Linked DNA regions of Xenopus tropicalis. The protein of the gene in region 2 purifies or fractionates together with the protein of the main gene of each other region. This does not show direct contact. Links are inferred from orthologs where the notes say so. Each region holds a gene or a part of one and is shown on either strand. Other genes may lie near its edges.

Evidence for each region.
Region 1: the proteins of ago4 (region 2) and tnrc6a purify together in Homo sapiens (co-immunoprecipitation; 4 studies listed by BioGRID and IntAct, with this or other methods). This does not show direct contact. The link is inferred for Xenopus tropicalis from reciprocal best matches to the Homo sapiens genes AGO4 and TNRC6A.
Region 3: the proteins of ago4 (region 2) and tnrc6b purify together in Homo sapiens (co-immunoprecipitation; 3 studies listed by BioGRID and IntAct, with this or other methods). This does not show direct contact. The link is inferred for Xenopus tropicalis from reciprocal best matches to the Homo sapiens genes AGO4 and TNRC6B.

Annotation. Positions count from the first base shown.
Region 1 is NC_030685.2:20,149,099-20,152,753, forward strand, and holds part of tnrc6a (trinucleotide repeat-containing gene 6A protein), read left to right. Parts: intron 1-240; coding exon 241-399; intron 400-946; coding exon 947-1,087; intron 1,088-1,198; coding exon 1,199-1,306; intron 1,307-1,982; coding exon 1,983-2,201; intron 2,202-2,652; coding exon 2,653-2,723; intron 2,724-2,797; coding exon 2,798-2,937; intron 2,938-3,655.
Region 2 is NC_030678.2:81,877,568-81,881,222, reverse strand, and holds part of ago4 (protein argonaute-4), read right to left. Parts: intron 3,164-3,655; coding exon 2,848-3,163; intron 2,445-2,847; coding exon 2,310-2,444; intron 2,133-2,309; coding exon 2,031-2,132; intron 1,330-2,030; coding exon 1,130-1,329; intron 1-1,129.
Region 3 is NC_030680.2:121,719,972-121,723,626, reverse strand, and holds part of tnrc6b (trinucleotide repeat-containing gene 6B protein), read right to left. Parts: intron 3,646-3,655; coding exon 3,529-3,645; intron 2,627-3,528; coding exon 2,452-2,626; intron 1,542-2,451; coding exon 1,407-1,541; intron 1,258-1,406; coding exon 1,081-1,257; intron 601-1,080; coding exon 454-600; intron 356-453; coding exon 272-355; intron 1-271.

The DNA of each region.
Region 1 (3,655 bases), on a different chromosome or scaffold from region 2:
TATCCTTATAAAGAAGTTTGTAACCCATGGAAATTCCATGGGTTCTCTAGTCCTGACTCATGAAACTGTGTAGCAGAAGTCAGTTCTATTGCAGGTTTGTTAATCAGTCATCCTTTGTCTCTAATTATGCAAACTCTGTAGCGGCATCCAGATGTTTTTCCAAAATCTGACACAGAGCAGATATTCCCTGCCTCGACCATTACAGTAATAATCTTGTGTGTTTGCAATTTCTTGCCCTAGGTGCTATTTCAAGTGGTTTCAGGCTTGAAGATTCTCCTTTTGGTTCTTATGACTTTATGAACAGCAGTAACTCTCCATCCAGCCCTCCAGGATCTATTGGGGATGGCTGGCCTAGTGCCAAATCGCCAAATGGCTCCAGCAGTGTCAACTGGCCCCCTGGTAAGCAAAACCCCTGATATTAACTTCATTTTTGTTTGAGTTCCGTGGTCTACAGCTGTAGCTCTTTACACTGTTCTGTGTAGAAAGACTTAAGGCAGTCTGAAATGTTGCATTTGTCTAGAGGCTCTTGCAGCGTTGTAATAGACTTTTTAGCATATATTGTGGTGGATGGTGCTCTGCTTCTGGACTTGTAAAATATGAAAACAAGTCATTAGGAAAACATTTTCAAATCGGCAAGTTCTGGCCATACACTGTAGGGTTGAATGTTATGGCAGCCTTATGCCCGAAAGGTATCTGCCCAGTTTTCAGCAGATTGGGCAGGCTGTCATAGGGCACCATGCTTGGATGGGTAAGCTTCTGGTTTGCTTTGATGGGCTGGGTTGGCAGCGTTTTTGGGCCCTTGTGTGGTCACCATTATCCTCAGGGATGTCCCTAAAGAAGTCCTGCCGTTTTTTTTTTAACAATATAGACCTACGTTTTTGGATTGTGCATATAACAACCTGTTTCAGTAGGATTTTTTTAAAGTTTTACCGTCTGATATTTTTAGAATTCCGTCCGGGTGAGCCATGGAAAGGATATCCAAACATTGACCCAGAAACTGACCCTTATGTCACTCCTGGCAGTGTCATCAACAATTTGTCAATTAATACTGTGCGGGGTGTTGACCACCTCAGGGACAGAAACAGTGGTATGTATCTCTGAATTCTGCAGCTGGGTTTTGTTTTTGCCAAAGCCCTCCCTTGCTCTCAGGGTCACTTCTATAAAAATTAATGCACACAATTAATATTGTGCTTTTTAGGGTCATCCTCATCTTTGAACACCACGCTGCCTTCAACTAGTGCCTGGTCCTCCATTCGTGCCTCCAACTACAGTGTCTCCCACAGCAGTACAGCACAAAGCACTTCAGGTAAGATGTCCGAGTACTTTCTATGCCGTTTGAATTGCTGCCTGTGTGCATGAAAACAATCCCAGAAACACCTGCTGCTATACCCCCAGAATGAACAGTTTATATTATGTTAAGTGGCCTATTAAAGAATCTTCCCAAACTGGAATAAATATCAGTAAATTTTGGCCTTTTACATCTTTTCCCCTGAGCCGCCATTTAGTGATGGGCTGAGTGCTCCCTCAGAGATCAGCTGACAGGAAATAATGCAGCTCTAACTTTAACAGGAAGTAATTTTGAAGCAAAAGGCAGAACTCTGTCCATTCATTGGCTGATGTGGCCTAGCATGTATGTGTGCCTTGGCTTGTTTATGTGCACTGTGAATCCTATGATCCCAGGGGGCGGCCCTTAGTACTTAAAATGGCAAGTTTCTATTTAGGATTACCCAATAGCACACACTACTAAAGTATATTTTTATGAAAATGATTTATTTAGCTGAAGCAGGGTTTTACATATGAGCTTGTTTATGCAGTGTATTTTTATAGACCTACACTGTTTGGGGGGTATAGTTTCCTTTAATGAAAACACTTCTGATTTATCTGGGAAACCTGCAGGGCCTTTGTTTTCCATATCAATCAGAGCACAGGCCCTGACAGGTTTAGTAACACATAGTATATCACATTCTTATTTCTCTTTACAGTAAGAAACAGTGACCCCAAACCTGCTTGGTCTCCTGGTTCCGTCGCTAACACTTCTCTGGCTCATGAACTGTGGAAAGTCCCTTTGCCATCTAAAAACATCAGTGCTCCGTCCAGGCCTCCCCCAGGGCTGACTGGTCAGAAGCCACCTTTATCCACCTGGGATACCAACTCCCTGCGTCTTGGTGGGTGGGGAAGTTCTGACTCAAGATACACACCAGGCAAGTGCCCCTCGCTTAGTACCTGCTGATACATGCATTGTTCAGTGAAATGCCCATCCTGGCTTCAATTCCTGATAGTGTGTTCCCCCTGCCACCTGTGTGCATTATGATCTTTTCTGACTGACTAGTCCTTCAGTGACAGATTTCTGTAGCCTTTGCTATCTTGTAGGAGAATAGCACTGTTACAATGTGATAAGAAAAGTGATGACCATGGCCTCTTTATAGAAACTAGGTAACAGGGAGATGTTAAATGTACAGACACAATTTTAAGCCGCATATTGATAATACATGTAAGCATCCATAGTGATTTCTTTCTGTGCTGCTTGCTCTGGTAATTCTTTTTCCTTTCTGCACCTGTTTCATTACTGATCTACCAGTGGTATAAGAAATACATTCATGCACCAGAACCTTGCTCCGGTTGGTTCTAACTCTATACTTGTGTCCTTGCTAGGTTCTACCTGGAGTGAAAACAGCTCAGGGAGAATAACAAATTGGCTCGTTCTGAAAAACCTAACACCTCAGGTCAGTGGGGTTTTGTACTATATAGGTTTCATGTACTCCTGGCAGGCTGTGTTCTAACTCAAGTTCTCTTGCAGATTGATGGCTCTACTCTGCGTACTTTGTGCATGCAGCATGGGCCTTTGATAACATTCCACCTGAACCTGCCCCATGGTACTGCTCTTGTCCGTTACAGTTCCAAGGAAGAGGTAGTGAAGGCACAAAAGTCTCTGCACATGTAAGTTTGTTGTGTAATACTGTACGAAATTCACTAGCACATTCTCATGGATTATATTGTAACAATAATTCACTTCTAACTCCATAGTTCAGATGTTGGCACTAATGTCTTTTTGCCAAACTGCAACTTCCCTTAGGGGAAAGGGTAAGCCAGGACCAATGGTGCAACCCTGCAACTGATCCAATAGTGGCTGATGTGTTAGGCTCACTTGGTTGGCTGGGTTCCCAATAAGAATAGCTTTGATTTGCCTATGCACATTCTACCTCATCTAGTTGATCTGATCTTTCAGATCTACAGATTGGTCACATTGGGATACATTTGCAGTACTGTCATTGGCCCACTGTATTTTCCACCTGGCTAATTCAAAACGGAGTCCAAAAGTGAATCTGCTGGACAAAAGTAATAATTTATGTCCCATACAAGGAAACTAAAAACTAGGTGCGAAGGGGTTAACACGTTACCAAGATGTCTGTGTGTTGGTTTAGCAACCAAAGTGAAACGGCCATCCACTCCAGTTCAATTGAGGGAAATACAAATTAGCAGTTTGTGTCATCAGTGAGCATTGGGAGCCCCATAGAGGCTTAGTACTTTAAAAATGCACTTTGTGATCCGCCCACTATCTCTCTTCAAATTACATATCTAGGCGTTTAAATTACTCTTCAATCATTTTATGATACCAATATCCTTACATTGATTACTTTATTTTTTTAATTTATTT
Region 2 (3,655 bases):
GAAACCAATTGAGAGATTCCTTGGCTGTGTGTTTGGGATCATTGTCTTGCTAAAATGTCCACCCTTGTTTCATCTTCGGCATCCTGGTAGATGGCAGCAGATTCTTCAAGAATGTCTCTGTACATTTCTCCATTCATCTTCCTTCAATTATATGAAGTCTGCCAGTACCATATGCTAAGAAAACAACCCCATACCATGATGTTGCTACCTCCAACTTCACTGTTGGTATGGTTTTCTCCGCCAAACATGGTGTCTGCAATGACATCCAAAGGGTTCAATTTTGGTCTCATCTGACCAGACTATATATTTTCCCAGAATTTCATTGGCTTGTCCAAATGTTGTGCAGCAAACCTTAAACGAGCTTCAACATGCTTTTTCTTCAGCAATAGATTCTTACACGGTGAGCACTCATAACTGGTTGAGTGCATTACTTATTGTTTTCTTTGAAACAACTGTACCTGCTAATTCAAGGTCTTCCTGAAGTGCTCCTTGAGTGATCCTTGCCTCTTAGACAACTCTTCTGATTATTTTTTTTGACTCCTGTCAGAAATACTGAGCGGAGCACCTGGTCGTGGATGATTTGGAATGAATTGCTGTTCTTTCCACTTCTGGATTATGGCTCCAATGGTGCTCACTGGAACAATCAGAAGCTTAGAAATACACCTGTAACCAATGCCATCAGTATGTTTTTCAACAATAAGGTTGCAAAAGTCTCGAGAGAGCTCTTTGCTTTTACCTATCATGGCATGCTCCTTGAGTGATAACTTGGTAATGAGATATTTTTACAGGCCATCAATTAGGACTAAACCAGCTGATATAAATTTGCACTGATAGGGGGCAGGATTGCTTTCTAAATACTGACAGATTTAAGCAGGTTTCTTGGACCTCCTTCATGTGTTCAATACTTATTCCCTGGGTCATTCAACTTTATTATTACACATAACTTAATCTAAAGACTTGTTTATTTGTATGTGTGGATTACTTGGGTTGTTAAAGACATATGGTGTAAATTTATGTCAATAGCCCCATTAGAAATAGATTTACTGAGAAAAATGTTGACATGTTCAATACTTATTTTCCCTGCTGTACATAAGTACATATTCAATTCCAATTGAAACTAGAGTCTTACCTGTCGTGATCCTTATCCACAAGATGATACCTTGCTCTAAATGCAACGAGTCGAGCATAGTAGGCAGGGGCAGGGATCGAAACAGATCGTGTGCAACGCACATATGTGTGACACAGCTGGTAGGTAAGCAGTTGGAGTTCATCAGCAGTGAAGCAGTTATCATCCCAGAGAACCTGGTAATGAGATGGACGACTTGTTCCCTAGAGGTAGAGAGTATTAAGTACACAAGATTAATCAATTTTAAGCAGCTGTACCATTTCAAAGTTATGACCAATCTGTTCAGATACCCAGACAACATTTTTGTGTTATACACCAGAGCCACTATAAAGCCCATTTTACTATAGGGAAAATGCCACACAGTGATGTTCATACAAATGTGCATATTCAGGCCAAAAACCATCCTGTACAAGAGGTGTCACATGGCTTCCATTAAAGTCAATGAGGGGTGGCAGGTATGGCTTTGGGTGCTTCTTCCCCGGAGGAGAAACTTTTAATTAGCCTTTAATTTTAAGCTCCGGTACACGTGTTTCTATTGTTTGTTCAAGTTTAAAATCAGTAAGAGTTGTGAAATACAACAAAGTTATATCTCATAAAACTGGAACTTTATATCATCCAATATTTTTGTACCACAATTACTCAACACAAGAGACAGATTAAGCTCATGGCACACACACAGCGCTTTGGGTCCCTGCTTTCAGAAAGAATAGGGGTAGTCAGAATTCATTTCCCAACCTGCAGAATGGGAAAATGTGCTGCATATGGTTTATGGCATTTCATGCTGATGTTAAATGGGAAATTTGTGACAAAGAATATTTGGGACATTTTTACCTCTATGGCTCTATAAAAAGAACTTTAGCCAAGACAGATAGTATGGTAGCTAAACAACATGCATTTGCAGTACCTGAATCCCAGCATGACTACAGAGATAGAAATCAAACTCTGATGGATGTGTTATTGTGCTGTCAACAGTAGTTCCTGCTGGCACATTGCCACTCTTTCCAACCTATGAGAAATATATAGTTTGCATTAGAAAAGAAAATACAAAAATCCTGCAGATGTTTAACCACCAGCATGCAGCAAGTGTTTTTGGAAGAGAATAAGAACAGAAACAGTATTTTTGGGAAAAAAAAACAAAAACAAAATTTCAGAAATACATTATTTAGCATTAAGAGTGACGTACCCTTTCTGTTTTGTCAGCGCAAAAAAGCCTTGTATGATGCCTTTTTTGTACAACAATGTATGTTATTCCAGGCCTGTAATCTTCTTCCAAGCTGATGCAGGCCTTTCGAATAGCCATAAGCTCAGGCCATGCCACCTGAATAGGATAGGTAAAAGTAGAAGTTTTTCATTTATGAGAAGCATTTTTGATTGGAATGTTACATCTAGGACTTGATGTCGCCCTGCTTTGCAGAGAATCTGTGTATTGCACTGTGGAAAGCAGAGGGAGAACCACAATCCAAGGAGAAGCTGCACTACACCATGAGCATAAAAATGGAAATAACTTTTTAATTCCTTTTTAATATGACAAGTCCAGTACATATGTAAAAAAAATAAGATAGTGTGCATGCACTGTTTCTACATAAGACCAACCAAATAAGCTAATGTCGAAATTTTCCCTTAAAAGTCAAAGGCAGGACTGTGTCGCATTCACCAATATACCCGTTTATATAAAATATAAATAGCATGAGTGTAAGCTGCAAACATCTGTACTCACTCACCTGTTTCATTTGACCTTCAGAAACACCTCCTCTATAATAGATAATTCTAGTGGGTTTGAACCGAGTTGACTTGTAGAACTGAATAAGCAGTTCCCGAACCATGTTGCTAAGGTCTTGAATAACTTCCTGGCTGTACAGCAGCTCTTGGGTTGTCTCTTGGCGCGAGGTCTGAACACGCACAGTGGCACAGTAGCGGCTGGGATGCCCATCCATGCTGCCCACTACAGCTGCAATGGAAGGTTTCTTGCCATCCCCAGCAGGGGGGTGTGTTACATCTGCTCCCAGAAATATAACAGGCTGTTGAAACACTGAAGGTCTGCAGTAAAAATAATTTACATTTAACAAGTAAATATCAAATTTAAATAACGCAAGAAAATACACTTGTTAATGCTATGTAAACAAATTAAAAAAAGTTGGTAAAAAGTTCCAGTTGGCCAAATATTAGACCACATTAGTAAGACCGCTGCCCCAAAATAATTTCAGATGACGTTTAAAAGAAAAGGTATTACTTGTATAGGTATTGTGTTGGTTTTAAATGAATTCTTTCCTTCACACCTAAATGCCAATATTTATTAAAAAAAAATAATGAAGCATACAATAGATCACTGTACAGGAATAGGACCCGTTATCAGGAATGCTCGGGACCAACAGTGTTCCAGATAAGGGGTCTTTATAAAACATTAATTAAACCCAATAGGATTATTTAACTGGTTTGAAAACAAAGTTTATTTTTAAAAATTACCCCGAGCACTTCTGAAACAGAAGCCTCATATCATTGATCGACCTGTGGTCAGGAAGAGAGGAAAAG
Region 3 (3,655 bases), on a different chromosome or scaffold from region 2:
GTAAGACACAAAAGTGAATGCACCACTATATAAGGAAGGTTAAAGCTGGTAACATGAAACCTCACCATAGGGAAACATTTACAATGATGAGTCTAAGATAGGAAAAATCACTAGCTAAAAGTAATGTGAATATCTGACACTAGATGTTATTTAACTACAGATCTCAAAATCCCATTGACAGCCAAAGACTGTTTAACCACATCTGATGGGCTACAGGTTGCCCACCCCTAACGATGACTGCTTATCTGTTATTTGTTCATACAGCCTTTACCTGAAGTGCTATGGATATTCTCAGAGGCACTAAAGGGCCAGGCACCAGGTGAAGGCAGCGAGGTGTTGAGGGAAGAATTGGACCCTAAAAGACAGCATCAGATTGTCACTTAGTACTCTAAAATGTACATATATAATGCAGTAAGGAAAATATCAAATAAATAATAACATAATAAAATTTACCTGTGGGGGTGTCCTGCAGTAGCTGGTGGTCAGTATCTACAATGGGAGATGGGGCTGGACCCCCAAGCACACTGCCAGGGGTAACATAAGGATCAGATTCTGGATCAATATTTTGGATCCCTTTCCATGGCACTCCTGGCTGAAACTCTACAATAAGATTAGAGACACATTGTTAAAACAAACAGTGTGACGCTGAAGCCAAGACAAACAGCTTTGGCTCAAATCACCAGAAACTTAAAAGAACCACTGAAGGCCAAAGTTAAAATTTTACTTAAGAGTGAGTGAATATAGTTGCTAATCGCCCATTAGCAACAATACATAACTTTTAGGGAATGCAAGTCAGGACTCTTATCCCTACTAAACGCAAGGACCCAGAGAATTTCCTCAAACACAGTACACAGTATTTGCTCTACACAAGTGTTCAAAGGCAGCAAGGCTACATAGAAACAAACTAGAGTAAGGAAAATTCTCAGTTAAACTGTAAGCTCGGGTAACTAGTAGAGCTCTTTAGCCTTACCTGAATGAAATATATGGAATGTAGCAGACATAAAATTAAAAAAAAACATATAAATCAAGAAACATAACATAAATGTGCATGTGGTAAGTTTCTGGCAATTCATGACTGACCTGGGGGCCAGCTGGCATTGATTGACTTGTTTCCAATTTTGCTTGAAGGGGGTGATTTGGCAGGTAACCAGCTCTCAGCTGTTGGCCCCCCATGCCCTCCCAAAGCATCCGTAGACAACATGTCATATTGGTGGTAGGGGGAACCTCCACGATTTTTTACTGGGGGTGCAATGGAGCCTGGTAACAAGAAAGACAAAAAAAATGTAGTGAGGTGATCTGTGCGGTGCCCATATTCTTCACTATTATTCACACAAAATAAAACTGTCCTAACCACAAATATTTATTAGAAGATAAGGGACAAATTGTGCAGTTTTTTAGCCACTCACCATTTTTATGCAGGCTGGTATCTTGAGAAACAGTGGACGGTAGCCCCTCCATCATGGATGTCCACTGTTTAAATCGAGACTCTGCTCCCGCCTCCTTACCTACTGTACCATAATCCATCCCACTTGAGCCAAAACCTGAAAACCAAAAGAAACACATTGTATTTATCATATTCTACTGCATCTACAAAATATTTTGTATGGAAATGTATGCTTGCCAGGGTCAGTGAAAGCTACTATGCAGCCTACAGCATACAGTATTTACACCTACAAAAGCACAATCGAAGACTATTTCTGACCACTAGATTGTTGAAGGTTTCTGGAAAATAAGTTAAGCAATTTAGCAACTCCACCTATGAATGGTAACAGAGAAAAATATTGTCCCTAAATCCTGATTAGTAAAGTACAAATGCAACTATTAACTAAAAAGTATTCAGGATTTTAACCCTAGTCAAGGGGCTGCTGTATTCTGTGCCTTTCTGTAGCCAAAACCCTCACCTTTGTTGGCAACCATGTGTTTTCTTGGTGAGCACTAAGGAAGACACATGGAGCTACTAGTAGCAGCTACTTGATGTGGCTACTTAAATAGACATTTACTGATAACAATCTCTACATGTGTTTTAGCAGAGGCAATTCTCAGTATTGTCTATGGCAGGATATTTTCTGGCAATTAGTAGCCGTGAAAAAATAGCTGCTACTAGTAGCTATGTGTGTTTTCACCCTGAACACCTACAGTTGCAAGGCACCTTCATAACAAAAGAATTACCCTAGAGATATGTAAGGAGATTTGAAAGGGTAGCTTCACTACTGCTGTAAAGAGGCTTTAAAATAAAGGAAGCAGACTCCACAGTCACAAGAGAAGGTGGGGCTGGACCATGGGGTCTGCGTCCTCTATTACTACATATAAATCTCTGTTGCTCTTGGGCAGAAGAGTGAGAATTTATTTGTAAACATTCTGGGGAGAGAGGGCTGGAAAGGGTTTGGTACTCTGTGTCAAGCATTCTATATATTTCAGAATTAAACAAACAAGTCACGATCAAGGGCTTACCAGATCCATATGGCATGTGCCCTTTGGCTTGCATGTCTGAGAGTCCAACAGCATCTAAGTGACCTTTGGGTCCAGCAGGGTGAGAGGGAGAGTGCTTCATTCCTGGCTGCCTCTGTTGCTGCTGCTGCTGTTGCTGTTGCTGCTGTTGTAGGGCACTTACCATGCGTGCTATCTGCTGGGAAATAGAAGGCACAAAAGGTAAATCACCAAAATTGCTTAAAATGCCAAGCAGATCATCATGGTTGTTTGAATACGAGAAAAGAAAATTCAGGTATAAAATAGCTTTTAGAGACCTAGATTGTACATTTCAATCTACCTTAAAAGCAGAGTGGCAAAAAAGGGGCTATACAAACAAATGTAAAAAATATTTAAAGGAGAAGGAAAGGCAAAGTCACTTGGGGGTGCCAAAATGTTAGGCTTTAATCGCTTACCTTCTACCCCGGGCTGGTGCCCCTGTACAAAGAGAACAGCACCAGCCCGGGGAAGCAGCGAGCGCTTCCTCCTTCCTGATCGATCGCGTGTGCATGCGCAGTAGACGGAAAAGCCGAACTTTAAAAGAGAAGTTGTCTTTTCTACTGCGCATGCGTTTGTCCGGGACAATTGGCTAGCGAGCGAATAGGAAGGAGGAAGAGCTCTCTACAGGTACCCCGGGCTGGTGCTGTTTTCTCCTAACAGGGGCACCAGCCCGGGGTACAAAGTAAATGATTTAAGTCACTTGAGGGTGCCTAACATTTTGGCACCCCCAAGTGGACTTAGCCTTTCCTTGTCCTTTAAATATACAAAAGGAATTAACCAGCTCAGAAGATAACGACGCAGGATATGAACAGAACCAAGAGACAGATATTGAGAGGGGCAATGCTGAAAGGTAATATAAGGGACAAAAAAAGTAATAAATACATGTAAAAGCCTTTTGCCACATGTGTTGGGGACTAACTTAGTAAAATAACAGACATGTGGCATAAAAATAATGAAACCTATTAAGCTTAAAAGAAAACCAAAATCAATAAAAAGACAAGATAGACCAGCCGTTTCTGTATTATGGGGAATGGCAGTTGTGAATGTAGTGCCGCCTCTTACCTGCTGTTCCTGCTGCTGTCTGACCGCTTGTGAGATCTTCCTCTGGTTCTGAAGGAGTTGCTGCTGCTGCTGCTGCTGTTGCTGCTGTTGTTGTTGTTGCAAGAGGAGCTGACATGCCTACAAGCAT